Drosophila melanogaster: one gene and its partners. The protein of the gene in region 4 interacts with the protein of the main gene of each other region in a pairwise test. Each region holds a gene or a part of one and is shown on either strand. Other genes may lie near its edges.

What was found.
Region 1: the proteins of CG45105 (region 4) and mbo interact in a two-hybrid assay, tested with the Drosophila melanogaster proteins (one large-scale study listed by BioGRID).
Region 2: the proteins of CG45105 (region 4) and CG12620 interact in a two-hybrid assay, tested with the Drosophila melanogaster proteins (one large-scale study listed by BioGRID).
Region 3: the proteins of CG45105 (region 4) and lva interact in a two-hybrid assay, tested with the Drosophila melanogaster proteins (one large-scale study listed by BioGRID).

The regions. Positions count from the first base shown.
Region 1 is NT_033777.3:12,674,510-12,682,582, forward strand, and holds mbo (members only), read right to left. Parts: upstream 4,544-8,073; 5' UTR 4,493-4,543; coding exon 2,384-4,492; 3' UTR 1,978-2,383; downstream 1-1,977. Other genes in the region: Gnmt (glycine N-methyltransferase), read left to right, coding at 140-354, 490-617, 678-934, 1,227-1,496; CG43630 (uncharacterized protein), read right to left, coding at 1,601-1,747; Cyp313a4 (cytochrome P450 313a4), read right to left, coding at 4,866-5,026, 5,094-5,679, 5,739-5,865, 5,909-5,981, 6,141-6,326, 6,380-6,577, 6,643-6,796.
Region 2 is NT_033779.5:17,084,497-17,091,687, reverse strand, and holds CG12620 (uncharacterized protein), read right to left. Parts: upstream 4,048-7,191; 5' UTR 3,964-4,047; coding exon 3,100-3,963; 3' UTR 2,502-3,099; downstream 1-2,501.
Region 3 is NC_004354.4:3,960,164-3,968,047, forward strand, and holds the start of lva (lava lamp), read right to left. Parts: upstream 5,165-7,884; 5' UTR 4,592-5,164; coding exon 4,538-4,591; intron 4,476-4,537; coding exon 4,404-4,475; intron 4,335-4,403; coding exon 4,254-4,334; intron 4,190-4,253; coding exon 479-4,189; intron 422-478; coding exon 314-421; intron 248-313; coding exon 1-247. Other genes in the region: CG6428 (uncharacterized protein), read right to left, coding at 5,657-6,358, 6,425-7,174, 7,234-7,469, 7,867-7,884. UniProt on the Drosophila melanogaster protein: Lva and spectrin may form a Golgi-based scaffold that mediates interaction of Golgi bodies with microtubules and facilitates Golgi-derived membrane secretion required for the formation of furrows during cellularization.
Region 4 is NT_033777.3:15,911,691-15,919,621, reverse strand, and holds the start of CG45105 (uncharacterized protein), read left to right. Parts: upstream 1-1,614; 5' UTR 1,615-1,817; coding exon 1,818-2,065; intron 2,066-2,899; exon of another isoform or gene 2,900-3,005; coding exon 3,006-3,216; intron 3,217-3,276; coding exon 3,277-4,665; intron 4,666-4,741; coding exon 4,742-4,826; intron 4,827-5,118; coding exon 5,119-5,236; intron 5,237-5,670; coding exon of another isoform or gene 5,671-6,917; exon of another isoform or gene 6,918-6,957; intron 6,958-7,182; coding exon of another isoform or gene 7,183-7,339; intron 7,340-7,451; coding exon 7,452-7,576; intron 7,577-7,803; coding exon 7,804-7,931.

The DNA of each region.
Region 1 (8,073 bases), 3.2 Mb from region 4:
CTATGTATGTGGCCGAAGTCGGCACTATGTGGGAGCGCCAGCTGTTGGCTTCTGAATCCCAGGAAAGGCGACGTCGAACGTGATGGTGGAACGGCAAATTATTCACTTGCAATCCGCCGACCAGTGCTGACCAACAGAGATGACAACCTCCGCTGACAGTGTGTTCGTTGCCCGATCCGATGGCATCTCCGCCGAAGGAGTCCGGGATCAGTACGCCGATGGCAAGGCCGCCAAGGTGTGGGAAATCTTCATCGGTGACAAAAACTCGCGTACGGACAACTACAAGAACTTCCTGATCGATATGCTGCGCAATAAGGGATGCAAGCGTGTCCTAGACGTGGCCTGTGGAACGGGGTAAGATGGGAAATCATCCTCGCATTTTCATCTGAACTATGGTATAGAATCAATACATCTAGTTAATGAATCCTTTAAGAATCCCTAATTTAATTATGCTCTATTGTGCTCTAATCTTCAACACTTTTCTTTCAGTGTGGACTCCCTGATGCTTGTGGAGGAGGGCTTCGAAGTTGTGTCCGTAGATGCCTCTGATAAGATGTTGAAGTACGCCCTCAAGGAGCGCTGGGCCCGGCGAAATGAAGCTGCCTTCGATAAGTGGGGTAAGTTGGGCAATGATCAATAAGCTTAGCCCTGTATCTATATCTATTGTTATCCTACAGTCATTGAGGAAGCCAACTGGTTGACACTGTACGACGACATTCAGGAGCACATTCAGGATGGTTTCGATGCCGTCATTTGCTTGGGCAACTCCTTTGCCCACTTGATGGACGGGTTCGGGGATCAGCGGGAGCACAAGCAGGCTATTGGCAACTTCGAAAAGTGCCTCAAGCCTGGAGGCGTCCTGCTTATCGATCATCGCAACTACGACAATATCCTGGAAACGGGAGCTACGCCTGCCAAGAGCATCTACTATAATGTAAGTACCAATTTCCCATTTAAAATCTAATGCCGATCTGTAGAATCTAATCCAATTAGCGTGTAGTTCATACCTCCTATAGTGAGTTGTACAAATTCTAGCGAATCATCTCCTCAATTAAAAACTATCTGTGAAAATAGCTTAATATTGTCGCATCATCGCGGTGATAAGAACGGATGATCTTGTTTGTGAACCCCACATAACACATCATAATCATCAATCGCCTTATCAGTTACACATCTTTCGATTCAATTAATCCAATAATCCAATGATGACTTGCTTCTAATTGCAGACGAGTCACACGGCGGACATCAAGACATCCGTGCTCTTCTACTGCGGTAAGCCCGCCCTGGTGTCGATGGACTACCTGATCGCTGGCAACAAGTTGACCAGTGAGTTCCGTCTGTCCTACTATCCCCACGGGCTGAAACGATTCCAGGAGATTCTAGCCGAGATCTTCTCCGCCAAAGCCAAGCACCAGTTGTATGGTGACTTCAAGGAGATGAGCCAGGTGAAGAACCCCGCCTTCTACATTCACCTGATCGAAAAGCCACAGGTTTAGATTTAAGTTTTTAGTTGTATTCACATAAGGCCACAAGACACATCCATATAAATATACATAAAGTTCCTTCGATTCGCACAGTCTCGAGTCTCCTCAGTTTTCTTCTAAACCATTATGCAGAATCGACCCACGATGGAGCCAAAGCACAGGGTCACCATGGCGGCCTCGATCACGAACGGGAATTTGGCCTTCACGTAGTTGAACATCCCGGTGTAGATGTTCGACAGGGCAGCCAGTAGTATCAACGTCATCTCTCGTCCGCCGAACTTCGCTTTAGACTGTCACTAAAACGCAATAGCTATCGAAACCCTCAATTCTTGGGGCGAGTGTCATTAGCCTTGCAAATGCTTTTCCATTACGTTTTCAATGGGTTCTGCTTTGCAGAGAAAATGAGTAACGATCGAAATGCGATACTTTAAAAACCAAATACTAGAAAAATTTGTGGTATTCTAATAACAGTGGAGCTGAAAGTTGGAAAACTATGTTACAGCAGTACTACAATACTTTGTATTTCCGAATTATGATGTATGAAGTCTACTATTATTATTCATTATTTTATTCTTATTATTATTTTATTACTATTATTTTACTTTTTGAACTATAATCCGGAAAATGGGACAGTACGTCAAGAATAGATTTTACTGTAGTAGACTTTGTAGCACAATACCCATGGGTATCAAATGTTTTTGTGTCTTCATGAAGGATCGTCTAGCAGAAAACGCTGACGTATGCTCATTAAAGTGTCATCGAATACAAAAAACAGAAGCCAGCTAACGAAAATAGGACTTAATTGACATGTTTATTAAAAATACGTTTTAGTTCTACGCAACGGCTTTACTATCACGAAAACGTGGTGAAATCTTAAGAGCGTGCTTCCCAATCCGAATTTAGATGCCAACGATTTTATTAATGCGCTTGACGTCGGTGATCTGGCGATCGATCTCCCCGGTTAGCTGGGTAAGTATCTCGGTGATAGTGCGGTGCTGTTTCTCCGGCAGCTCGTACGCGTTCTTCTTGAGGTCCTCTTGACTCTGGGCAATGTGGTAGCGCTGCTTGTTAAACGTCTTCTTAGCAGTCTCCAGTCCAGCGGCCAGGCTCTGGGTGACCTTATTAAGTCGAATCACCTCCTGCGAAAACTCCCGTTCCGCAATCACACTATTGGGTAGTGAGGCATTGGCCCTCTGCATCAGAGCGTTGCACTTGCGGACGAGCAGCTCCTGGTTGTAGCTAATCTCCTCGAAGCGCTCGGCAAGCTTGTGGGCCCGCTCGCTGATCAGTTCGCGTTCCTGCTCCAGGTCTTGGATCTCCTGCAGCTGTTGTTCCTTCTTCAGCTGGATCTGGTTGATGTGGCGTGTAAATGCGGCGCGCACAAGGTCATGTCGTTTAAGGTACTGCTCACGAAGCACCTCGATTGCCTGGTTAAGCAGTTCGAAGCTCTCCTGGGCGGATGGCGAGGAAAGTTTATCCGCCAAGATGGGCTGGTTAACACTACGTTGCAAAAGCGATTTAATCGTATCGACAAACGGTGGCCCACTTTCCTGCTGAGACACTTCCGAGTCAACTGGCTTATTCTCATTAGGTGTAACCAACAGCTGGGCATCAATTACCAGCTTAAGGCTAATCACCTGACCGCTGCCCAGCAGTAGAACTATACCGGCAGGAATTTGTAATAGGGCAAGTCCAAAGACTGCGTTCACCGTCTCACTGGAATCGAATTTTGTGCACAGAATGTACTCTGCACTTGCAGAGACCGCCAGCTCTAGACGATCTTCATCGGACTCGCTTTCCAAGTAACGTTGCAGCTCTGCGATAAAGCTGACCGTAACGGCATGAAGTCCTGCGTTGTGGTAGGCAAAGTAGCGAAGCTCATTGATCAAATCCCGCTTTAAGTATATGGGACAGTTGCCTCCTTCTTTTCCAGTTGCGGGTGCAGATATTCCCAGCTCAAGTTCGACAGTTTCTAGTACATGTACAACGTATTCGGCGGGTTCAATCAACACAGAGTCGTCAACCTCATTGAAAGAATGCTCAGTGGCCTCCGCCTCCATAAGCAGAGCATGGTGAAGCTTTCCATTGGATTCAGCTATAACAATGGTCGGCGGAAGTGATGGGATAATCATTAGGGCACAGGACTCCAGTCCATAATTGTCATGTGCCTGTGGCGTTATGGTAACGGGGCCCTGCAGGCGCGTATTCTCCGAATCCACGCCGGTCATCAAAATGTAGATGTTTCCATTCTCGCGGAGCACAACCATGGGCCACTCTATCCTCTCCTGTTTCGGCAGCGATTTGGCCGCCACAAGGGTTTTGTTGCTCTTATCCAAAGTGGTTTCGTTATTGCCGGCTGTTTCTGGTTCAGTGACACGTGGTTTTGCAGCAGGAGCGATGTCAAAGTCAACGGCTAGCTCGCCAAAGTCGCATAGCGAGTTATTGGCCCCACTTCGAAGCACCGGGGGACCCACCTGCCACACGTGGCGCAACTTGGAGTGATTGTACACTCGAATCGTGTTGTTGTTGAGCAGCACGAGCAGCGTGGAGTCTGACACGGAGTGCGGATGCCAGCGGACCTGGCGCACTTCCAAGTGCGGGTTTTTTAGGAAAAGCTGAGTGTCCAGGCCGAACGTGCGGCAGGTGATCACTGGCTTGCCATCCTTGTAGTATCCATCGGGGCCCCAGCGGCGGGGCAGCTCCATTATGACAACGCCGCGCGGTCCACTTAGTGCCACGAGGGAGCCCTCGTTGGAGGCCAGCACGCGGTCCACCTCCAGGCTCACCAAGCTCGATGGAATCAGTGTCTGGAACTGGATATTCACCTTTGCCGCCAGCGATGAGCGCCAGTTGCGAACCAACAGACAGCTGTCCTTCGCGTGCCAGGCAAAGAGCAGATCGTCCTTGCAGTCCAGCAGGTTCTGAGTCCTTTGCACCACGGGCAACCCATTGCGAATCTTCGCGAACAACTCCGTTTTGTTCAATTCCAAGACATCGGTGAGCGACATCGTTTGTTTATGCTTCAATTCGTTGCCCGGCTTGTAAGTCAATGCTAGTGTGATAGTAGTCTTCGGAAATCCGCAAAGTATTTTTTTTTAGTATTTTTTTAATTCGAATTCATGAAACAAGAAATTTGTTAAAAAAACGCTAACACCAACATTTTCGGAAAATGTACTAATAATTATTGCTGCTTAAACTTTTCAACGAAAGACGTTAGCATAAATCATGCTATAAATTTAAAAAATGGAATAATTGATTAATAGTTAATAAAAGATTATAAAAGGTAGATGTTATTATTTTTTAATATTGGTATAATTCACAGAACCCATTAATTCAACAACTTTTAATAATCTATTTAAAATCACTAAGTGCTATAAACATTTAAGTTCTCTTTTGGAGCTCCAACAGTGGCACAGATTTCAACTTCATCGTAATATCTTCAACAAAGTATAGATTTTCGAAGGGAAAACTCGTTTTAAACCTATAATTCCGCAATAACTTGGCTAATGTAACTTTCGCCGATATTAAGGCATATCTCCAACCTAAACAGAAGGAAATAATAAGAATATAGCTAAAACAATGGTCATAAATTAGCGATCACTCTGTTACCTATGCAATTTCGAATGCCCTTGGTAAAAGGTATATAGGCGTACGGATGCTTGTCCTGGATGTTGTGGGGGAGGAAATGATCTGGGTTGAAGGTCTCCGCATCCGGACCCCAGATCTTTTTGCTTCTGTGCATGTGATAAATGTCGATGGCGATCTGGACCCCTTTGGGAACCACTATACCATTGGACAGCTTCAGATCCTGAGACGTTTGTCGGGATACGACAGGAACAGGGGGTATTACTCTCATGGATTCGTTGAGGATCAGGTCAAGGTACACCATCTGCTGGGTGTCCGCGTAGGATACATCAAAGTCTCCTGTGTTTGGGAATATCGTCTTTATTTCCTCAAAGGCCCTCTCCTGGTATTCCGGAAACATCGCCAGCAACATCAGGGTGTAGTACACTGCATTAGCCGTGGTCTCAAAAGCTCCAAAAACGATGATATTCGACTCATCCTCAACATTCTTCAGGGTAAACACTCCTCGTCTCATCAAATCCGTGACCAGATTTAGAAATAGGTTTTTATCATTGGACTGGATGGAAGGTAGTGCTCCCATTTCGTCCTCGGCCAACTTTCTCTCAATTATCTAAAGGGGTTAAGAGATTCGTAAGTGAATAAGCGGAGGGAGTAGTTGGAGGTGCTCACCTTCCGAATAAACTGACGAATCTCAGTTTTGGCCTGGTAGTAGTGCGATTCCTTTCCAGCCAGCTGCCGGCAAAATCGGCTATTGAGCCACGGAGAGAAGCACATATCTGTCATGGTTTCCAGGATGCTATTAATGGATAGATGCATTCCGATTCCAAGTCAAAACTCACCATTGGTATCGCCCCAGCAAGGAATTGCTCCTGAAGCTCTCTTCATCCTTTACATCGCTGCCCATGGTGGTTTCTGCTTTCATATAAGTATATCATATATTTAATATCAGATCGACTCTTCTAACTGAATTATGCATTCTGGCTTTCGACCACTTTGTATGCAAACAACAAACGTGATAGCCATAATTTATGAGTCTTTTTTTAAACAAACAACACATTCTTCTTTACTCACGGGTGGCAATTCCCAGGGTGAAGCTCTGCAGCAGTGGAATGAGATCCTTCTCGCCGTCATCCTGCAGTGGTTCGAGTTGATCGAGCAGAAGGGCCGTCTCCCGGTTGAAAATGGGCAGGAAGCTGAGTAGCACCTTGTGGCCGAAGGCGGGATTCAGCAGCTTCCGATGGATGCTCCAGCGGGGATCTACACAAATCCACACTTAAGTAACTCCCACACTCGATTCCATAGACACACACCCTTCAGGCTGAATAATCCAACTCCGGCGCCATCGTCCACTGCCTTGTAAATAATGCCCTTGTTGACGCAGTGGGGAGATGTGAAGATATCCTGCACCACTTGGGGATCACTCACAATCATAAAGGGAATGGGCCCCAGCCAGGAGAAAATTGTCGGACCGTGCTTGTCGAGAAAGCAGCCGAATGCGTTGAGGATATCTGCGCACGGACACTCAGATTATTACTCCCGACCAACACAACAAACATCACAACATCCAAAGCACCTTCCCTGCGCATCAGCCAGTGAGCCATGCCCAAAATGGGATATCCAAGTGGTCCCGGTATCTTTAGCGTTAGCAGATAAAATCTGCGCCTGCTCCACAGAAAGTAGATCCAGAGCAGGAACAGCAGTCCACACCACAGCGTCCAGGTCAGCATGCTTAATCCTTTGCCAATGTCCGCTATCCAATTGTAATAATCCGTGTGCCAACAATTTTCGACCGATCGGTTTGAAGTGCGCCAACAATTTGATTGGCCAATTCTCAGTCAATCGACTTTTTATAATCCGGACGTGTTGACTGCTTTGGGACTCGATCGATCGATTTGTTGTCACGCGTGGAGCCCAGCAATCGACCTGGTTGACTCTCCTCCTCCCAGGAGAGAAGAAGCCGTAGGGGCTACGGGTGGAGACCCATTGAACCGCAGATAGCGCGCCGTTTTTTTTTTATTGGGACTCGACGTGGGGGGTTGCGCATACAAATAGCTATAATTTTGACTAATGGCCAGTGGTGACATGCGCCACACGCTCCAAGAATGCGAATTGGCAAACGACGATGCACTACGTCACTGATCGATTTCGATCTGAAGGGGGTGGGGGCGGGGTGCCACTAATGGCGTTGTATAACCAATCGAATCTCAGGTGGCAAAGTGCGATGACACAAATATTTTATTAACGGTAGCGTACGGTCAATAACAATAATTAGAATAACAAGATGGGTAAGTTTTTTGAAGCTAGTTTTAATGGGCGACCAGGTCTAAATATAGGGCGCACTTGCTTTTCAAGTTAAAAACATAAACAGTGTGGAACGAGTTAACTTTCATTTAATGAGAAAGCTTTGAAATAGTCGAATTTTTCAAAACATTATAAATAAAATCAAGTTATACCGCCACTTGACGTCCATACGCACAAATGTACGGATAGACGGACATGTCCAGATCAACTTGAAAGTGAGATAAATACTTTATAAGGTCGGAAACGCTTACCCTTTTTTTAGTTCCCGAACAACAATTCAATCGAACAAATAAAACGCGATGTGTTCTTATTCTGTGTATTATTTATTAAAATTTAAAATATTACTTTCATTTGGTTTTCAAACTGTTTTTAGCCTAGGTATATTATGCACGTATGGATGATGGGAAGGCGGCAATGCGTCTCCACCTGATGATGAATGAGCATATGCTTGGAAACATGTGCGACATGGCTATGGTCTATATAAAGAATGAACACCTCGATTTTGCGCTGGCTAAGCTGCGGGCTCCGACGACGAGATTACAGCGGAAAATGGCAGAACTTTTCAATTCGTTTCGAAAGTTTTGTGGAATTTAGCGTTTTTGAGTTATTGCGACGACTGCCTGTCTCCCTACGACGCCGATCCGTTGGTCACGGCGAGTTTCCCTGAAAGATGTACAGGATAATACAGTTGAGCGGGTTTTCG
Region 2 (7,191 bases), on a different chromosome or scaffold from region 4:
GCTGGGTAAAAGGGGTGTTCGCTGGGAAAAACAAGGGGCATGAGCCGGAGCAGCTGCACAAAAAGACGCACAAGGAACAATGACACGACAGAAATATGCCAAGTAGCCGACCCCCCAGCCCCCGCATCAACGAAAATGACAGCGGAAAAACAGGGGGTGGGTCGGGCGGAAAAGCTGGGAGACATATGATGCATATCGCAAATGTCGTTTGCTGTCAGTTTCCGGTTGTTGCAGCAGCCATTTTGTTTATGCATGAACACGAATGCGACTGCGACTGCGACTGCCACTGCCACTGCAACTGCCACTGCAGCAAAAAGAAGGCCGACGAGAGCTGGTGGAAAGCCGTGGGTGTGGAGTCGAAAAAGTGCAAAAGGAAAACCAGGTGGGCGGACTGTACGAGTTCAAGTGTAAACTAATTTCGCGCTTTGCACTTGGTTAGCCCGACATTGAGTTATGATTTTCGGTTTTCTTTTGGGGTCAACACTCATGGCACGTGATGCCTGGCTTTAAGCCATATTTTATGGATACCGTCCGCTCCGTTCCATAGCCACGTTTTGACAGCTTCACGCTCGATGGCAGTTGGTCAAAAGGGTAAACTGTCCCATGAGTGCTTACAAATAAGGTCAATCAATCACTCAATCAATCAAGGTGGCATTTGGGGGATTTGGTCTACCGCTTATGATATCATTACATATAAATTTAATAAAAAACTAAAAAAAATGGAAGTCGTAAATTCAAATAAATGTGTTACAAAGCCGCAAAAATACTTAATATTAATTAGGCATTTAATTGAATTACTAAGCAGTTCTATCTAGAGCAACAAAGCAACATGAAGCCACTTCAAATGCAAAACAGTCATGGGAACTCATTCCATCCTTGATTACCGATCACCTATCGCTAGAAACTTCGATTGCCATCGACGAATGCCGATTGCAGTTGGCTCCCCTCGACGCACATTAAGTCTAAAGCACTCCAAATGCCGCCGATTGCGGTGAACAATTGCTTTGTATCCTTGCTACACGAGGCATGTACATGCAAGGACTCTAGCAGGGACACACTTGAACGGGTTGACATAAGTCACGATGACTGGCCACAATGTTTGGATGATGATTAGGACCAGGCACTTGCAGACCACTTCGCTTGATTTGCCGGCATGACGTGTCACTTTGTGGGCCCCATAAAAAATTAACCAAATTGCCATGCTAAAGATTAATTTCAGCACATTGCGATGACCTAAAATACATTTAATTTTAATTTGGTTTGTTTGAGGTGTGCCAAGTTACAGGATTCTCTTCACATCACTTAATAGAGAATTGCTTGCTTCAATTTAAGGTCAATTTAAGGAAAGGTCAGCTGCACTCGCTTTTCAATACTTATTTAGCCTTGTATCCCTTTTAAAAACAAACTTTCGAGAAAAGAAGCGTGTGTGTGGACTAAAAGCAAACGGCAATTAAATGTCATAAAAGTGCTGTAGTATACTAAAGTAGGGATTACAATCTCTTCGACTTGTTTTTTAACTCCAGACGGGCAGCAGCTGGGACTGCATCCACAGCTGAGGGGTTCAAGCAACCGAGAATGTCTAGACATTTCCAGCTTTAGCCTTCATAGACAACAAAGTCTTCATTAGGCGAATGACGATTTTGCTGCAGATCGTATGACGTGATATTTATTTCCATTTCATGGCCGAAAGGAACGCCAAATTGGCCAAAAATCGAGAACGTCTGGGTTGAAATTGTTGAAGATTACTTAAATGAAAACGCTATTAAGTCCGACGAATTTAATTGCTACACCACCAAAGTGATGTGCCACACAAGATACTGCTAGATTTGAAGTTATATATCGGCATTAAATTTGATGTTAAACTTATATTTATATTGCATCTCTTAAAATTTAAGTTAGGTTTAACATGTCCAGAGAAAACAAGATACTGTGGCTCTTCGCCTATCCGATATCGAATATAATTGGAGAGTAATTGACTCGGTTTTCAAAAGTGTAGGCTGTAAATTGTTTTTTAGCTCATGGAGGTAAGAGAGTTACCGACGGACGTGGCAGTTTTTTCAAACAAAACTTGCACAATTCTTATCACTATACATATTTAACGTGTATACAAAAATTAAACAAAACAATGACCGGTATCGAAAGGGAAAACATGACCGACACAAAAAAGAAAACAAAAGAAAGAAATAGTATGTGTAAACTTCCGTAATTAAAATATTTTAAAAGAATCAAAAACATTTACACGCACAGGCTACAAAGCCATGTTGGCTTGCATAAATGAAAAAAATGGGTATGGATAATAAATGAAATATTGTAATGTAAGTTGAGCTCATACAGATCTGAAAACAAACAAAAGAATTGAAATCGGCACTTGCTTGACAATTATTGTGATGAATGAAAATACCATAATTCTTGTTTATGAATTGAACTAACTAAATATTAATTACATATTACAGAAAGTAAACTTAAAACCAATCCATATTATCCCTAAGAGTAATAATTTTATTAAATTAAAAGGCCAATACAAAATGGCTGTATTTTACGGAATTTCATCGCACACAAAGACTTTTGAAATAATTTCAGCACATTGTCCTTCTAGCTCCTTATTGTCTCATCTTCCTAGTATCCACCCACGCAAAAAAAAGCAAGGAGAAGAATGGAACCCGTTAGGCGTCATTATCGTGCACACTTAGTTATCCCTTTGAATGTCCTCCGTCCCTTCATGTGTGCGCTAGTGCGGGTTTTGTCCTTTATGGCCCAAATAATTGTGCGGTCTCCGGGTCGAGAAAACTATATTTTTAAAGCTGCGCTGGGGAAAGAGAGCGTTGATGGAGTCATTTGAGATCAGAGGCGATTACGGTTATTTGGTGTCTACATTAGCTTGTATGCATTTACGAATATGGGTTTATTTGACTTTACGATTAAAATAAAGCCTTATATAACTTCTGGAATATGAAGTAAAAACATTCGCAGCATTTGGGCTATACGGATTGGATTTTGATTTCCAGCCAACGAAACATTTTCTTAATTTAGGCAACACTAATCTAATGCACAATGAGAAATGGGATCCCATATACATCAATTGCATCAATCAATTTAAGTTTATAAATTTCGCGTTTTTTGACCAGTATGTTTTTTCACACTCGAACTTATGTTTTTCTGTATGGCGCTCAAATTCTTTAGGTCAATATTTTCGCCACGGTCAAGGACCCTAGTGTGTTTTTCTTCTTCTGGAGCTGTTTTATCAATGACTTCCGGAGCAGTTGGTGGTAGTACTGTTTCCGGTTCTGGTTCTGGTTCCGGTTCCGGTCGCGGTTCCACTGGCGGTTCCGGTTGCGGTTCCGGTTGCGGTTCTGGTTCCGCGGGAACGTACACTATCGGCGGATCAGGAGTCTGGCTTATAAGCTTATTATAGCAATGATGGGCGGGATGGAATCCGGGCTCGGGATCCTCCTTTGGCAGACTGTCGTCGGAAATCATCGATTGGTCTGTAGCCCGATCGTATTGGAAGTACGGAAGTAAGTCGTCGGAGTCTGTGCCGCAGGGCGGACACTCCTCTTCGGCGATCTCGGAGATATGTTCATCATCCACGCTTAGTTGACTCTCCGATGACTCTGTGAACTCCTCGCGGATCAGACGCCTGGCCAACTCGACCGTTGAGAACTCAGTGTAGTGCAGCTTTCGGCGTCGTACGAAGGATATGCGTCTGGCTCGCTCTTTGATAGTCTCCAGGAATTCGAAATCTTCGGAGTCGTCCGAGCTGCAGGATGGATCATGGGCGAAGAAGTCCGGCGTCGTGAGCTTCACCTCCTTATGCAGTTTTTCCATTAGCTCCTTATGAGACATGACCTTCTCGCCGGTTTCTCTTTTTATTGACGAGGCCGATTCATTTTCCACTTCATAGGGGTCCGAGTGAACGGGTACTCCCAGGTTCATTTTATCGAACCTTGTTCTTTTAGTCGTCATGGTTATAAGACAAAATGTGTTTGTTTTTTTTTTTTAGGTTCTACTTCTTATTTTTGGGATATATAAAATGTTTATACGTTTAAGTTTTATTTCTGCCCAGACTGAACTAGATGTGTTAGCTTTGATGTTTTAATCTATGTTAACTAGCTTAGCCTTATATCGGAAAAAATTCAGTAATTCATTTTAATCATGATCATTAGAAAAATAATATAATACTTCCAATGCAAATGCCTTAATATATTTGACGCTCTCATTTGCGTTTCGTTTTTTTCTTGTAAATTTACCCCACGACTTCGCTTAATCAAACCATATCGTGGACTTCAGTCTGGCTACCATGGCTACTACATTTTTTGATAACGGCCGCGATTTGCCTACGTTCCATAATTTGATGTCACATTTTTCCCACAACGCGGGTTAAGTGTTTAACCTCTGGTGCGAGTGGGCACAAAAAAAAGGGCGATATCTCGACAAAAGAAATTTGTTTGCGAGCCAATTTCGATTGTGTCAAAAGGACGGTTATTTATTGGACCGCAGGCGTCATTGTCTAGCCATCGATGGGAATAAATATGCCTGTGGCGTCTCACAAGGATGCATAAATTGTCAAAACGAGATTTCGACTTGCGATGAATTTAATTGGATTGCAAAAGTTTCTTCGCGTATCGCAAAACCGAAAATTGAGCTGTTGAAACGTGACGTTTCCACCAACTCAAACGGAACCGCAGCCAATATGCATACAATTAAACTGTATTTTCGGCATCTGGTTTTGGGATAAAAGCGCCTTTTATGGACACTCCATTTGACCCACATTCGAAGAAGGAATTCTGCCAAGAATAAAATGTTTATTTAGCATTTTATGCCAAAAGAGAGAGCGCTAAAATTATTTACGCAGCATCAGGCGTGTCATTTGCATGTGCCACGCCCCAGGCCCCCAGTCACAAAAAATTCAAGGCGATGAATCCCACAAAAATACGCTAAAAGTATTTACATTTGACTCGGAAAAATTATACATTTCCGTGCAAATAAAAAGCAAGTCCAAAGCATCTAGTCGGTGGGCGGGCAAAGGGGCGGACAGCATCGGAGGATGCCCGGAAATAAAACCAGAATCCGAACCAGAAAGCAGATTAGAGATCCTTGAGGAAGGCCACACGAACTCGAAATGCTCTAGGTGACGATTTCCCAAAAAAATATAAATTAAATTGGAAAAATTTCTTTAAGAAAAGCAATACATTGATTGACACATTTTATTTCTTAAATACAAGAAACTATATTAATATTCCAAAAAGTATGAAAGCAGATAAGTGGATTCATTTTGATAATGCCGATGAGATTAAATAAGGTATCGAGAATATCGAGGTGTTGCATTCAGTTCGTAATACTCAAGCCGCTCCTTCGATAAAGGACAACGGCAGGCGTGGCAAAAAAGCGCGTTGCAAAGAGGAAAAGCTTCAAATCCGCAAACAAACACTGTGACAGCTACAATGCGGGGAACTGAAAAGTGGGTGGCGCTGGGCAGAAAAACCCAGTCACCCGACCGAATGAAATGTACTCTCTATTGACATTTGATTCCAGCCTCACTTGGCTGGGAAATAAAAAATATATATGTGTATGTCAGGATGTGTACAAGTGCAGAGCGGACGCAGTTAGACCCGTTAAAGGGGTGGGGGGATTTGTAAATGCGGAAAAGGGGCAGCCGGGTTCTTCACTTTGTTGCACAAAGCCTTGCTCAGATTTCGGTGAAGGAAAACTCGTCGCTTTTCACTCTTCGAGGCTGTCGTTTTTCGTTTCATTGTTTGTTTGTTTGTTGGTTTCGTTTCGTTTCGTTTCGCCTCGTGCTGTTCCGTTTTCGCTTTTGTTTGTTCGCCTGTGGATTGTGTTTCCTGTTACAAGGCTTCCAGGATCCCATCTCCCTTACCCATCTCGAATCCCCTGTCCTGTCGCCTTGACGCATAAATTTGCCTTAATTTGTTGCAAAATAATTTCATTCATTTACGTGCTGCCATTTACATGGCCGTCGGTCCACGTTGATAACTTATTTAAGCGCTCTTTTCCCCAGCGAAGGAAAAACAAAATTTGAACAAAATAAATTATCAAACTGTCACATTGACGTATCGCCCAAGTGAGACAATCCGGGCAAACCGAGGAGTCAACGGGGAAAAGTCGGGCCAATCTCCTGGCCATAATCTAGAGCATCATGTTGCTCGTTTAAAGGATGTCAAAGGTTGGCCATATATCAGCAAAAGGCATCAAACGCAGTCGAGTCGAGGCATCGGCTTCAGCCCGTTAACAATTTCATGTAACAAATTCTTCGTGCCCGATGCCGGACACGGATACATGGTCAGGAGTGTTCGCCACTGGAGTGGGTGTAAGAGGAGCACTTGGAGAATTATTTTAAGAATATTTTACTATCCATTTTATGAAGAAACTTAATTAACGACATTATTCATAGTAAAAACATTTAGCAAATATATAAACAAAGTAAAAATGACTAATTATTCCTGCATTTATATAATTTAAGCCAATAAGCTGTGTGAAGAATCCCACATAAGCAAAGCATACAAAATCGGTTTTATAGTGAAAAGAAGTAACTTATTTCTCGCAGTGTCGACACCCGAGCTGTTTCAGATTTCCAATAAATATGCCTAGGGTGGTTGTGGTCCTTCTGCTGATCCTGATACCGCCTCTGGTTCTGGTTCTGGTCCTGTACTACTCTCCTCTGCACTGCGTTGGGTTTGGACTCGGAGCCACCGCACTTCCTGCTGTCTGCCACCCACTGTCGCTTATTTGACATCCTGACAGTTTCGACAGTTGCCTCTCGTTTCTCGCTCCACGACAAAGTGCGTAGGGACGCCGGACGATGAACGACGGCCAGAGCTTTGTTTATTTATATGGTTTATACGGTCGGGATGTGTGTGCAGGTTACCTTGTGCCGGCGCTGCGGTTGCTCCCGTAAACGATGCTTTGTTGGAAAAGCGGGAAAATCGGAAAATGCCGCAGAAAAATATCCATCGCACGCGGGTCTCCGGGTTCAAGGTGTAGCCCAGCATGTGACAAGGATTCGATGCTAACCCAGCTCTCGGTGTGTGTATTTGTGTACGGCACTGTTAGCCACTAACAAGCGGCTAAAATCTGTCGCCAACAATGGTGGCAATTGGATGTGGAACACTTGGTAAGGGTTTCAATCTGGCGGGGACTCAACATCTTTGATGTGGGTACAATGTTTCTGGGTTT
Region 3 (7,884 bases), on a different chromosome or scaffold from region 4:
CAGCGCTTCTGGCCTGCAGTTCCGTATTCTGAGCCTCCAGCGACTCAATGTACGAGGCATCCTCCTGTAGCTTGGCTTGAATCCCTTCGTGAAGTGTCTCCAGACGGGCGATGGTCATCTCAAAGTTTGCCTTATCGCTGGCGTACTGTTGCGCCAACAGAGCGTGTTGCTCCTGGGCCGCCGTAAGCTGGACACGAAGCTGTTGAAGTTCTCTCTCTGCCACTTGGAGGGATTCCGCTTGTTGTTGCTAAAAATTTTTTTTATTTGTTGCATTAGAAGGTAAATGAGGTTCAAGTTCAAAGTTCAATCTCACCGATTGTGATTCCAATAGTTGATGTGAAGTTTTGGTAATGGTATCATCGCCTTCACCGGCTGCCCTGCTCCTTTCCAGCTTAAGAATCTCTTGTCGGAGGGCAGTAATCTGTTGTGGTTGATTATTATCTTCGACATCAAATATGCCTAAAAATCGATTACTCACCTCCGCATCCTTTTCTAAACGCAGTTGCTCGTGAGCGGCCCGCGCGTTCCGCACATGTTCCACCTCGCTGTCTTGATCCTGCTGCAGTTGCTGTAACTCACGCTGCAGCGATTGAATCGTGGCATTGCGAAGCTTTATCAACTCCTTGGACTTTTCGAATTTCTTCGATTTGGCCTCTAATTGACGCCGCAAATCCTCGACAGCAGTGGGCTCTTCGTTTACCCTCTGTCCAAGATTATGGATTTCCTCCTGAAGCTTAGAGATTTCTTCCCTGAGTCTGGAGTTTTCCTGGCCCAGTTGAAAGACTTCCTGATCGGCTTCTTGGCGCTCGCGTCGCAACTCCTTGCTTACCAGATTGGCATCTTGGAGCTCCGCATCACGTTCTTGGATAAGTTGCTCCTGCTCTTGTATTTGCTGCTTTAACTGACGCAGGGCATCGCGATTTTCCAGGTTGAGATGGATCTTGGCCTTAAGGTCTTCGTTAAGCTTGCTGACCTGTTGCTGCAGTTGTTCAACCCGATGGTTGTCCACGATGGGTTCACGTTCCACCTCTTCTTTCTGCTTGACAAGCTCCTGCTGTTCTTGAAGTTGACTAGTAAGTTCCTGGACCTTCTGCTCGAGATCGGCATTGTCCTGTGTGCGTTTCTTGAGGTTAAGGGCATACTTCTTGAGTTTCTCGCGCAGTTCGCGGTTCTTGAACTGCTCCTCTTTGTGGGCATGTTCTAATCCTTGATACTCCTGGATTTGCTGGTTCAGGGCATCGACAGTCTCCTGGCTGGAGGTCAACTCTCTGACCTGCTGGGCAACTAAACTTTTGCTAACGCGCAGAGCCTCTCGGAGCTGATCCGGATCCTCTTTGGCTCTCAATTCGCGCAGCTCCTCTTGTGCTGATTGCAATTCCAGCATCTTAAGGTTAAGCGCGTGCTCGCTTTCGCTGACACTCTCAATGAGTTGCTGCTTCTGCTCGGCAACTAGAGTCTGTAGGATACTCAGCTCGCCCTCCAGAGATTCGGCTCGGGCCTCTAACTCTCGACGAATCCTTGTTTGCTGCTCCAGTTGCTTCTCATGGCTCATTTCCTTGGAGTTGAGCAGCTGATCGAATTGCTCTGATTGCAGCTGGAGTTGTGTGATCTCGGCACTCTGCCTGGCCACCAATTGCAGCTGTTCTGCTTCGGTTTGACGCAGCTCCTTGATTTGATCTACCTGCTCCTCGATCTGCTGGCGTTGCTCGGCCTGCAAGGAGCGTGCGTCCTCCAGCTGGGACTGCAATTGCAGGATTTCATCTTCCCTTTGAGAATCGGAACCAACTATGGCCAATGGCGCTTCGGTTTCAGGATAGCTTTCCCGCAATTCATCCAATTCCTGGCGCAATCGGGAGATCACCGCCTTGAGTTCCGCGTTCTGTGCGTTTAGCTGCTCATATTCCGCAAGAGCTTTTCCGTTGGGAGCGGTCACGGCCACCACGGTCTCCACAACGGTAACAGTTTCTACCGCCGTGCTCGCTTCCTTAACCTTGTGGAGAAGCTCACTCAATTGGGTGTGACAGTTCTTGGCCTCCTTGGCCAGTTTCTTGGACACATTGAACTTGGCCTGCCTATCGTTGGCCTTGCGATAGGCCTCCAATTCAGAGTTGAGTTTGCTCAGGGATTTCTCGCATTTCTCAAAGAGCACGGGGCCTCCTTCGCCGGCGTCCAGTGTTGCGACAACTTCGGAGGAGCGTTGCATTGAACTGAGTTCCTGCGAGAGATTGGATGAAGTGGACGTGGAGGAGATCAGATCCTTCTCACGTTCACGCTGCAACAGCTGAAGAGAACTTGAACTTTCCTCCAATCTTGCCTGGAGTTGCAAATTCTCGGCCGACAGTTGCTCCAGCTTGTCCAATACCTCTCCGCGCTCCTGGGTGAAAAGTTCGAGACGTTCTCTAAGCTGGGAAAGAGTTTCGCCAGAGGAATCCTCCTCCTCAGTTTGCTCCGTCTGAGTGAGCTCGCTGACGTGACTTGGCCCTGGTGGATGCACTTGCTTCTGCTCCTGGGCGTCGCCCTCGCTGGCCGGACGTCGTTGGCCTAGGCACTCTAAGTGATGACGCTCCACTATTTCAATGGATTCCGCAGAACTGGATGAACTGAGTAAGGCCTCTAGGGCCTGTTGCAATTCCAATTTCTGCTCTTCCAGCAAACGAATTGTTTCCAGCTGCAGTGGATTATTGGACTCCGTCGATTGCTCTGGCTGGCGGTCGTCCTCTTGCATGTTGGCCAACTGCCATTGACCCTTCTCGTCCTCGAGGACGGCGATCCTTTGCTGCAGTTCCTCGTTATCAGCCAACAGTGAAGCCAACTGCTGTTGGCCATCTTGGGATTGGAATTTCTGCAGCTTCTTTTCCGCCTGCTTGCATTTCAGCTTTAGCTTTATGTTGGCCTTGTTAGTTTCGTCCAGCTTTAGCTTCAGCTGCTGCAGATCCTCCTGCATCTGCTTGCTGGCGGCACTGTCCTCCGAATGGTCCTCCAGAAATAGGGGCTTACTGCGACTGCTTTGCGCGAGTTTCTCCTCAAGGAGACGCAGATTCACATTGAGCACATTGAGTTCCGTTGTCTTTTCTGCGAGTTCTTCGTTTTGGGCAGCCATTGCCGACTTCTGTTCCTGCAGCTCTAGAAGCTGCGCCGCTATGGTGGCTTCCAGTTCCTCAAGGCGCTGGGAAACAATCTCATCGGTCACCTGGAGCTTCGCCTGGGCAGCAACTTGCTGACGCAACTCCTCATTAGTTGCCTGTAGATCAGCCAGCTGGTTGGTAAGCTCCTGGAGCTGTTTGGCTAGCTCCGCGCTCACCTGTGCATCGGTATGCGCTGCTTCCGATTGCGGACTGCGGGAAGCCTTTTCCTGCTCTTGTTCCAACTCCAGATTACGCTGTCTTTCGCGCGCCGTGGTCAGCTCTTCCTGAAGTTCACAGCGCGTCGTTTCTAACAGGTCGTTGACGTTTTCCAGCTCTGCTAGTCGTTCTCTTAAGACTAAAACTTCGCCCTGGAGGCGAGAGTTTTCCTGCACCTTCAGGCTATCCTCTTCTGCCTGGACCACACGCAATTGCTCTAACTCCTCGTTTCGCTGGGTGAGCGTGCGCTGTAATTCCGCACCGGATAGTTCCAATCGCTCGATGAGTTTAGCGCGCTTGGCCAGTTCTGTACGCAATTCATTTAGCTCCTGTTCCTGCCGGCCCTGCTTGAGTTCCGTCAACTTCATACGACTCCTGAGCAACTTCACCCGGCTTTCGTCCACCGCCTCCTGACCCTGGGCCTCCAAGTCCAAGGCAGAACGATGGCGGGATACGGGTGGATTGGAGACAGACGCCGCGTGTCGTAGGTCCGTCATGGAAGAGCCCAGCTCGGCGGTCGTTTGGTGGCCAATATTCGACTTTACAGAAAGAAGAGACTTGGCCAGATCCCTCTTGCGCTGCTCCAACAAAGCACGATTTTGTTCCGTGCGCTGTGTGAGCATCAGAAGCTTCTCGCTGCCACTGGTTTGGAGTAAAGAGACATCACCGGGGTCGCTGTCCTTTGTGGGTGAGACCAGTGGAGTGGAGGAGTCGCCGGAGCGCGTCTTCAACACGGTGAGCTTCTGACCCAGTGTCTTAAGCGACTCCATGGAGTCACTCATGCTGGACTTGTGTCGCTCATCCTGGGATTTCCTTAAGGCGCGTTCTTTTAAGGCAGTGAGGCGCTCCTGAAAGCAATCATTTCGAGTCATTTAATGATATGAACCACTTGATTCACAGCGCCTAACTCACCTGCTGCTTGTACAGATTCTCTTTAAGGCTATCCAAACGGCCCTTGCCTTTGGTGCCTCTCGTTGTGCTGGCGGATACATTCTGTAGGGTAGATTCAACAGATAATATTGAATCCTGCTTCACTTGGGGGATTTGTTCAGATTTACCCACCTGTAACGAGGACAGATCGTTGGAGCTGCCCGCTAAGCGTATATCCGCCTCGCCATATTCGTGATCGTCGGGCTGCAAGTGGTCATGATCAGTATGGACGCATGTACGTACAGGGAACACCAAGTGAAACCCACCTGAACGATGGAGAAGTCGTAGGAGCTCTCCAAAGCACCCGAATCTTCCGCCATTGTCGTTTCAATTACAAAATATTACTAACTATCCTAGCGTACCGGACCAAATGCAGCAGCAATAACAAAAAAAAAAAAAAAACCAAAAACAAACAAAAACACAAATCGGGGGAATCGGGAATATATATGCGGACTGGCTATCTGAAGGACCGATTATATATCCACGGTGGCTGCGCAGCGCTAGCTATCGACATTGACTGCAACGAGAGAGGGTTTACCATATAGCTAACATATATCATCCGCTTCCGATCGGCTAGAATTGTCTTTAGCTTTGAATTTGCGTTTCTTGTTGTTCTTTTTATTTTATGGAATTCGTGGCACTGACGTGTGCACCTCTCTATAGATGTGTGCGTGTGTGTGCGGCTGTGTGTGTGCGAGTGGGGCTGTGTGTGTGTTTTGTTTGCTGTTTTTCCAGCGCTTGTGTCGATTTTCGCCTGGTTTCTGAGTTACAAGCCACTAAGCACTAGATTGCAACGTAAGAGCTTTCTTATGTGCACGCTGACAGATGTATATTTACCAATTCTAATTAATGCCAGCGTAAAAACAATTCGATACCAGGGCTGCGCAACAACTGAATAGGGTCACAAAGCCCTGGTAAGTTATCGAATGACAGATGGCTCGATAGCACTTGCGCTCGTAATCAATCAATCGATTACAAACTAATTCAAAAATTTTGCATTAATTTCAAATTGATTTTATTTATTTTCATACAACAAATTATACTAGTTTGTGTATATAACTTGTTATACAACCGTTTAATATGTCTGATGCTTAATTTTAGACATGATTGGTTAATTTTTGGTTTTGGCTAATAATATTATTGCATACAATGGATACATTAGTAAATAAGGACTACTTAAAAACAGGTCAGGGATTCGACACTTAATAATAAAAACTACCACGACAACATCGTTAATATGCGAGTTATGCAAAACTGATAATAAGGAACCATTAGACTAGATGCAACACTTAAGTACAAAAGAAATAACCCTAGCCTCCAGTGTTTGTTTTTTTCTTCATGCTGCAGGAACAAGGAACGAGGTATGTATGGTTCGGAAGAGATTTCTATGATTTTAGGACCTCCATAACCGCTGCGTGTCCGCCGCGCTCCGCATAATCCATGGCGGTCAGGCCGAGCATGTCCTTCTCGTTCGGATTCTCGAAATAGGGCAGGACGTATTGCACCACCTCCGGAAATCCGTGCAGTGCTGCCACGTGCAAGGCCGTCCTGCCCGAAGGATCCGACTGGGCAAGATCGGCACCGGCGTATTGATAGGACTTCAATCTGATCATCGATCCCCTAGCAGCGGCCGCGCACAATTGCTCGCCCACCGCTCGCGAAGAGCCCGTCAAATGAGCACCACAGTTGATGAGCAACTGGATGATCTCGTGGCTATCGGTGGCGACAGCCTCCAGAAGTGGAGTGCGGTCATACCGATCACGCACGTGCACGGACACCCCGTTCTGCAGTAGGTACTTAACGATCTCCACGTTTCCCAGCTGACAAGCCAAGTGTAGGGCCGTTCGCTGGTCATGATTTGTGCCCGACAAGTCGGCGCCATAGGCTTTCAAGTTGTTGATCTTCTTGGGATCACCTTCGGCCACAGCGGCGTTGATCATGGCCGGAAAGAGCGTTTCGCCCAGCTGATCCAGTTCTTGGGGCGAGGACAAGTGCAGAGACCGTGCCACTGCGTCCACCAAGTCGTAGTCCTCCATTTTGGGAGCCTTTAAGGAGGTCAGTTCGCCCCTCAGGCTTGACTGCATCATCTATGAAATGCACACATTGTGGATTATCCATATTTATGTATGTATTGAATTATAGTCGAAACTTACCTGCTTCTTCATATCGAGTGACCACTCCTCCTTGCCGATGACATAGGCCAGCTTGGCCAGCGCCGCCTCGGGCGTCATATCGAAACCGGGAATTACACCGACATCGCAGAGCACCTTGCCCGTATCGTAGATCTCCGCCACTGTGCCATTGGGACACTGTGTACAATTGATGATGATAACGCCTCGTTCACCAGCCGCACGCAGTTCATCGATGAGATCTTTTCGGTTCGATGGTATGTTTCCAGATCCGAAGGATTGCAGGACAACGCCGCGAATCGGTGGCGCCAGGAAAGCCCGGAATGTGGAGTGCGAAATGCTCGGAAAGATTCGCAGCAAGCCGACGTTCTCGTCGAGATTCAAGTGTACGCAAAACCTTTCAATAGTGCATGGCCGGAATATCAGGCGGTAGTCGACGTTCACATCAATGCCGATCCTGGCCAGTGGTGGAACATTCGGTGAGTCGAACGCGTCTAAGGCATTCGAACTGACCTTCACCGTCCGATTGCCGCGCATCAACTTATGGCCAAAGAAGATGCAAACCTCCGGAATGATGTAGTTACCGGCTATGATCAAGGCTGACGTAAAATTGTCCTTGCCATCGGTTCGCGTCTCAAAGATGGGTATTTGGGAGCCCGTGATGATCACCGTCTTGCCCAAATTTTCCAACATGAAAGACAATGCAGATGCGGTGTAGGAAAGCGTGTCGGTGCCATGGAGCACCACAAAGCCATCGAAGAACTCGTACGATTGCTAGACAATAATTTGGAAAGGATTAATATTACCTTTCATATATATATATATGTATGTACCTGAATATCGCTGGCGATTCGCGCCCAATCGTTCATCGTCATATTGCTGCTGTCCAGCAGCGGTGTATATTCCGAGATCTGGTAGATAACCCGGCGATCTACGCCCTGCACAATGGGCAGCACCAGTGGAGCCATCGATGCAGATGCTCCAAAGCGGCGCAGCGCGTACTCCTCATCGTGGATGTTTGGATATTTGCGGATGCTGCGCACCAGGGCATTGGGAATGGGAGCTAACACTGCGATAATTATAGAATATTAATATTGATAGTCACAAACTCCGTGACAAATTAGTTTCCTAATCAAGATGATGATTTATGGTCACGCTTCGTGTGTCAAATGTTTACTAAAATACCTAATTAGACCACTCAATAAATAGCAAGCAAATAGTCAATATTTAAATAGAAGCATCAACAATCTGTTGACTGCCAATTGATTTGTTTTGTTTACATTCATACCAACAATTTCAACTTTCATACATATTATTCGAATAAAATGTTTTCAAGTGCATTGCTCTTATCATATCTGGCCATTTTCTAAGACTCCCCTTGTTAGTAAAAGTGGGATCTTATCTACATGGACAGATTCGGGCAATCCCAATGAATCCTCGTATTCGTGACATTCTGGGCTGCTTACCATTCCGCTCGTTGCGCA
Region 4 (7,931 bases):
TACACTGAATTAGGATTCAAGCTGCAGTATTTCCTAATGCTCATGTGGCCATCAAATTGATTACTCAATAAAATGAGATGTTAAGACTTATGACAATGAATTTATGAAGCCAAACAATTAATTTTTCCTGTGTAGCTGTCGAAGTTGCTGTTGCCGGAGCTAAGGCTGGAGCAATGAAAATTGCTGAGAGCGCCCCGAGGGCTTCCAACTTGGATTGGGACTGGACATGGTTTGGACCCGGGTCTCTTGCCGCTGCTCTTGACCACGATCGATAAGGCTCGCACACATACGGCCACTTCAGAGACGTGCTTTTCGTGTAGGTTATGTTTATGAATTGTCTTGCAGATTTTTGCACACGGAATTATGCGTTTATCTCAGAGGGTTAATTTCACTGTTTGCTGCTGTTGTAGCTGTTGCTGCTGCTCTATTGTTGCTGTTATTGCTGTTGTTTTCCATGGCCTGGGTAATTAAATCGCAAGAAGCTGATAATATATGGAAAAGGGCTCAAAGTGTGCAGGAAAATGGTTTGTTTTGCCCCTTTTTTTGGCCAAAAGGGTTTTCTGGCTCTGCCGCTGCAATTTCTGCTGATGCGCTTGCTGCTGTGCATTTGCCCGCTAGGAAATTATTCATGATAACAGAGATTGCATTGATTGATTGTGTGGCTGCACTTGGGATGGGTTCGACTCGGATCTCCTGATCAGGCTTTGGGTGCTCCGGGGTGCTTTGCGGGGCTTGTGGAGGGGGCCGTGGGGTCGCTGGGTTCCTGGGAGCTGTTGCATCGACGGCTACCGAGTCTGAGTTATTTGGGCTATTAAATGTCTGTGATTTGGTCATAAGTTATAGGAACATCGACAATCAATTGTTGGCGGGTCTAGGCGGTTACCACATGTGGCAGTAGCTGGCCCCTGGCAGCTGAATACTGAAACTTAATAGTCTTCGAAAGGAATTTGGTAAGAGTACTGTATGAAGAATATTCATATTTAATATGGAAAACCCGATTGGCCTTTATTAGTTTTCCCATTTCAATTGAATTCATTGAATTTCTTTTTAATTCAACTCTTAGCATTTCACTCTGACACTTTGACCTTCTTACTCTCTTATAAAGTTTAATTACTCCTAATTAAATTACTCCAGCTATTAGCAACGTAGGTCATAAATAAATCCACCCAAAACTAAATATAACTGCAGAAATAAACCCAGTTAGGAGCCCTTAAGATATGCAATGAAAACGTTTTTGGCCTCGATTCGCACAGAGAGACAAGCCCAAAGTTGAACAACCCAGAAGAGGAGCAGAGTGGGGACCATGTATATGACCAAATATTGGCACAAATGAGCGTGTCTCTAGTGCATTGACGAGTCCCCCTTTGGTATCGATCAAACAGAAGACGAGCCAATACCGGAGAGATTCCAGGACAAGCCCCCATCGAATTGGTGAGCTGCCATGGCGACAATTGCATTGCTGCGAAGGAAATGCTAATGGGAGTGTTTTGGAATCTTGCTGACAGGGCACGACGTGGCACCAAACCCATTACCACGGCACACTAAACCATATATACCCATGGATGGGGGATATTGGGCCGAACGAGTCTATAAAAGCCCCGACTTGTGTTTGCCGCCGTTTCAGTTCAACTTCATCGCGTCGTCGTCCTGTCGCTCACTCTTTTGCAGAAGCAAAGAAACAATTAAAGTGCAACCGCAAGGCGGAAGGAAGTGCATACCACAAGTGATTCCCCTGCTCCATTGCCGAGTTGCATGTTGGATTGTGCCACAAACTTTTAGCCAAGTTCCCCCCATGCCCCCATGCCCTTGTGTGTAAAATGAAAGCAGACAACTTCTTCAAGTACGGCGCCCCTTTGTACCAACCGAAAAATACCAACCGGAGCCACTCGCACTCGCAGAACCAACCGCAAGCCCACACCGGCAACATCGGCCATCTGACATCGTCGCCGCTTCTGACGAGCGACGACCTGCGTCATCTCACCCAGCAGCGGTCCACCGGATACTCGGACAGGGAGAGCATCGCGAGCGTCAGCAGTGCGGGTGGCCGGATTAAGAGGCGATCGAGGTAATACTTTCGGAAGGAGGAGAAGGGCGCAAGTGGGAGCTAAAACTTTCGAGATGTCTTGAGATGTGGTCAAAAGTTGTTTTCGTTGTAGTTATTTCCTTAGGAACTGACAGATGCAGTTTACGTCAACTTCTCCTTGCGAATAACAAAGCAGCTGCACAACATTGTAGGGTTAAGTCATCAAAGGGCACCTTAGGGAATAAAGCTTAAAAAATTATTTTTTAATTGTAAAGATTTTTTTTTTGTGGTCTTCGTTTTACAAAAGTCATTTTATTACAGCCAGGTGAAATTTAGACCATAACAGATTTTAAGCAATGCAAGAACGTAGAAATCGATATATTTTAATCAAAGAAACAAAAATAATGGAAAAAATCATGTCTAGATATATTCTCTTATGTCTTATCTCTTAAGTCTGGGCCGTATATATTGTTGAGTAATCTAGAAGTTATATTAGACTTCACTTAAGGAACTACTTTTAAAATCGTGTGCTCTTTCCTATTATATAATACTTCATTTTATAACTACAAAAATTAAAAGTTAGAAATCTTGGACTTACATTCAACCCAGCTTTTTTTAAATTCCTTAGTGTATGTTAACACTGATAGATAGTTTGAATCATCGAGTTATATGTTGCTCTATTACCACTTGCCATGGGGTATCCAGGATTTATCAACCCTTGTGGAGGTGTTTGCTCAACCATGACGCATGCACTCGGCCACAGGAGCAGGGTTAAATTTTTATTTTGGCCAACCTGTCGTCCTGGCAACAACTGCAACACCAACTCCAATTGTCACCCCGAAAGGCAGCTTCAGATAGGTTTTTTTCGTTTCGGGCACAGTTCCATTTTCCACTTCAGTTGCTGAGCAACTTTGTTCCGTAGTCAAATTCAGTCTAAAAATGTGATCCTAGATGTGCCCTCCAACTTTTTTTTAACTTTTAGAAATTTCCCGATGAAGTCTTCGAAGGGAGGCATCACCAAGAAGTGCAAGACTATGGATTACACCAACTACGCCTATAATGAGGCAGTGGGTCGCCTCAAGGTAATGCTGGCCGACAACTCGTACGTGGCACCCAAACTGGGAGGAGGAGTGTCTTCCTATTTGCGCAACCTTAACGAGGATTCCGGGGACAACTTCTCTGACAACCTATCGGTTCGTTTTCCAATCAATTCAGTGCAAGGAATTCCTGTAACACTACATATACTTCTATAGGTAATTGAGCGACCCGTCTTCTCGGACATTTCCAAGTACTTGTCGCCCAGCCAGAAGTCGCGGATCAGCTCCTATCGCCCCAAGAAGAGCTATGCCTCGGGATATCTCTCGGCTTCCAAGGAGAATCTAGCTTCCACTCCTTCGCTTTACCCGAGCGCCTCAGTTCCGTCTGCTCCTCTTCCCTCGGACAGTGTCCCGGCTCCTGTGGAGATTTTCAGCTTTATCGAAAAGCAAGAGGACTACATCGAACAGCTGGAAAAGGAATCCAAGTACTGTCGCAACGAGCTGACCAATCTGTTGGGTAAAGTCAAGGATGTGATCAATGAAAATGAGCAGTTGACTGAGAACGCTCGCTCTGAGTTGGTGGGTCTCGGTTCGGGAAATTCGAAGCATCCAATTGTCACTACTAGTCCTTCCTCGGACAGTGACGAGCACTTGATGTTCGCCAGTGGACGTAAGACCCCGTCGACCCCAAGGAAAGGTGCCTCCAAGGGACAGGTGCAAAGTCCTCGTTATGCAAGTGCACCCAATATCGTTTACGAGGCCAGAATCAGCGAGCTGGAAGCCGAACTAATGCAGGCCAGCATCGATCTGAGGCGTCTGCGTACCGAGAACGAGGAGCTAAAGCGGAAACTGAGTCATACGGATCCCCTAACCACTGTGGCCACCTTGTCCGGGGGGTCCAACTGTGAATTGCATCGCAAGCAGCTGGAGAGCCTGCAGCAGGATAAGCAAACTCTGGAGGAAAGTGTTCGACACTTGCAGAGGCTTCTGGACGAGGCAAAGGCTCAGGGCCAGGGTAGCGCCTCGTCCAAGCGATATATCAACGACTTGATGCAGATGGAGCGCTCCCAGGCCGAGCTGGAGGTACGCCACCTCCGGGATGAACTGGATCGCCAGCACGAGCGGGTCAGGGAGCTGCAGCACGAGATGGCTAGGCGGTTGGCCGAGGAGCGGGCCAGTGCCGAAAGGCGCTACAACAGCCAGGTGGATCAACTGGGCGGAGATCTGAGTTGCCAATGGGAGCAGGTGTCCAAGCTCCAGTTGGATCTGGAGCGTCAAAAACGCTACGAAACAGATCTCAAGCGGGATGTGGCCAGTCGCAATTCGCAGATCGAAGAGCTGAAAATGGAACTAAGAGCCAATAGGACCACCTTCCTGGCGGACATGGCGCAGGTGAATGCAGAGAAGCAATCTCTGGAGCAGGACATCACCTCGCTGCGCCTTCAGTTGGATCGGGCTGCCAGGGAGGCCAAAACGGAGGCAGCTCGTCTTAATGCAGAAATAAATTCGCTGAGGCAGCGCCTTGATCGCGGGGATGCTGATCTCCTGCACTCCAAACGAGAAGTACTGCGGCTCAATGATGAGATAGCCAATCTTGAAAAGGAGGTAAATCATAGTATTCATTGTATTAATTTTTAAGCCTGTTGTTTGCTTATAAAATTAATGTTTATTGCACATACAGCTTGCTTATGGGGAGTTAAAGAACGAGATACGACCTACCAAAAAGGATCTGGACAAAAGGATCTCTGAATTGCAGGATAAGCATGGTAAGTGGGCCGAGTTAACACTTTAGCTGGATTACTTCTATCTTTCTACACCCTCTTCACCTATCACTATCCTCCCTATGAACTCTGGTTAAGCTATTGATGCTCCTATTGTGTTCTGCGTGTGTGTCAAATGATATAAAGTCAACTATATTCCAAAGATTCGAACTCGAAACCAACTACAGAGAAATATTCAATAGTTTATCCATGAGTTTGTTCTGTAGCGCGTTGCATTAAGTCCCATATCAAAGTACATAAAACATATATAACTAAACCGTTAAATGTCTGTTTGTAGCGGGAACGGTAAATGAGCTTGAGGAAATGATAACATCTCAGAAGCAACTCATGGATAAACTGACCAACGAGTGTAAAACCTTAACGGGCAAATTAGAGGACACGACCTACAAGCACAAGTAATTATGATCAAATAATACCTAAGCGTATCTCACCTAGCAATTCTGCAAACTCAAATCGATTTGGCTTTTAGAAATCTATTTTATACTATAGTGTAAGTCTAAATAATACCAGTTCGATTAAGTTTATATAGTCACAGTTAATTATTACAAAACGACACCCAAAAAGGTATGTGGGCAATTGATTGAAAGCCTTTTGACATACGGAAACCACCGCACATCGCAATATGAAATTCGAGGCCAAACCAAAGTTTTCCCACCAGTACATTCCGAACACCAATTTTCTTTTCCGAGATTCATTCGTTCCACACCAAAGCAAAAGCAATAAAATAAACATCTCGACCTAGCTTGAGACTGGATTAACACGCTGTACTTGTACTTCTTCAAACCTTTCTTTTGCTGCCTACCCGCCACGCAAATTTCATGGTAATTAGAACCAATTTGCGATCTTGTGATGCCAACAACAACAAGCGAGCCCTTGACCCCAACAACAATATCAGCTCCTACAGCATCAAAAGAAAGCGCAAACGAGTTCACTTTGCCGCCTAATCTGGAACTGACCGATTATCCAGGAGATGCGGCTGTTGATGTCGCTGCTGCCACAACTGCGGATGCTGTTGCCGGCGATGGCGATGAGATCCTGCAGAATATAATCAGAAGCAATGAGCGGCTGGCCAAGGAGTTGGCAAAGATGCCGCCGCTTCCCAAGATCTCCAGCTACAAGAAGTCCAGAGCCAGAGCAGAGGCACCAACGCCAATAGCAGCAGCATCTGCAACAGCAGCGACACCAGCGTCATCCAAAATCAAATGCTTTTGCCCCAGTTTCATGCGGCACAGACACGAGCATGAGCACATCCATACGTTGCGCAGACGCAGCAGCGGCAGCAACAACAGCAGCGAGACGAATGTTGCATGTTGCCGCAACAACAGCAGGGCAACAGCAGCAACAGCAACATCATCAGCATCGCCAACAGCAGCAACATCGTTCAGCAAAGCTCGTACACAAACCACGCACAGCAAGAGCATGAAATGTCACGGCCATGAGTCCACCGTAGACACGCACCACCAGCACGAGCACCACCGCACCACAAGCAGCAGCAGCACCACCATCGCCGAGCCGCATCATCATCCTGGCTGCTGCCATCCATGCAAAACGGATCCGTTGCCTTGGCTGCAACAGCATTTAGTTTTGAACCAGATCCTCAGTAGTAGTAGTGCCACCGCCTGCCAGCCCACGTGTCACGTGCAACACTTGACGGTGGATGCTGATAGTATGGCAGCCACATCGGCAGATGCCACATCCTCCACTGCCTGCAGAGGTCCTGGCAGCAATGCTCTTAGCGCCAGCATCAAGCCAAAGTTGTACTTTGAGCAGCTGCTGCGTCGTGACGGTTGCCACAAGAAGCCGCGTCCGCCCGTCAAAGTGGACGTCAATGTGCGCCTGGTGCCCAAACAGCCCATGCCGAAGGTCACTCGGTCCCTGAACGAGACGTTCGTCAAGGAGGTGGACGAGGTGGCACAGGCGATGAACGAAACCTTTGTCAAGGAGACGTCGCCGGAGCTGGCTCGGATCGATGAGCAGCTGGCAGAGCTGGAGAGCAATCGAGAGCGCGAGGATCACGAGGATCACGAGGAGGTGGACGAGGAGACGGAGGAGCAGGAGCAGGCCACCAAGCTTTGATAACGTTATTCTAAGCCACAAGAATAGTATTAAGTTTTAGGTATATGCATAGGGATAATCCATTTGATTATATCAATTTATAAGAATATTTTCATTTCCTAATGAAACTATTTATAATTTAAAGCATCATTTACGTGCAATGAAGCGTAGTAAATTTAGATTATAGCACTAGTTCTTATTCTAGCAGCAAATTGTATTTATTTTTGCGAGCTTTTAGTTTGCCCTGATTTATGTTGACATATTTTCTGTTTTTGATGAACCACAGTCTGGAGAAGCAGCAGCTGAGAGCCACAAACGAGCAGCTAATGTCACGCCTTAGGCAAATCTGGGGCAAATACAAGGCACAACTGCCAGCGCACCAGGGATCCCCGGAGCTGAGCTCCGAGGACATGCGGGAGGAGCACCCAATAAAATCCGTGACGGTACCTAACAGTATTTAACTAATATCTTTTTCCCTCTTTCTTTCTTCCATCTGATTCTCTTTCTATCTTTCCGTATCTTGATCTGTTTCCCTACATTTAAACTTTCTTGAAGAGAGGAAATATCTGCTTTACAATCGAATCTAGAGTATCTGTCCAATCGAATGTTGAGTAATGAGGAGCATATGAGTAAATTAGATAGCTCACCACACGATTATACTAGCTTAGTACCCGGAAAAGGTAAATTCCCCAATTCCCGTCAATAACCAAGTAGAGCACCTCCATCCCATAGTCCCTAATTCTAAACTGATTTAACCACTCCATCAGAATCGGAAGCTGAAGTCAAGGAGGCGGATCTGCCCGATAAAGACCCTATTTAGAGCCTCGACTCACACGACGACTCCACCCACACACCTATAACACTTGATTGGCGATCCACTCTAATCAAAATTCTTGTACTCACACAGCCGCTTACGACTACCAGGCAGCGACATATGGCACCCCAATCGAACCCATACAAAGCACCCCACAACCACACAACAGCGCCAGCGACAGTGATTACACGTCCGGAGGGATTGGCTTGGGCGATGGAGCA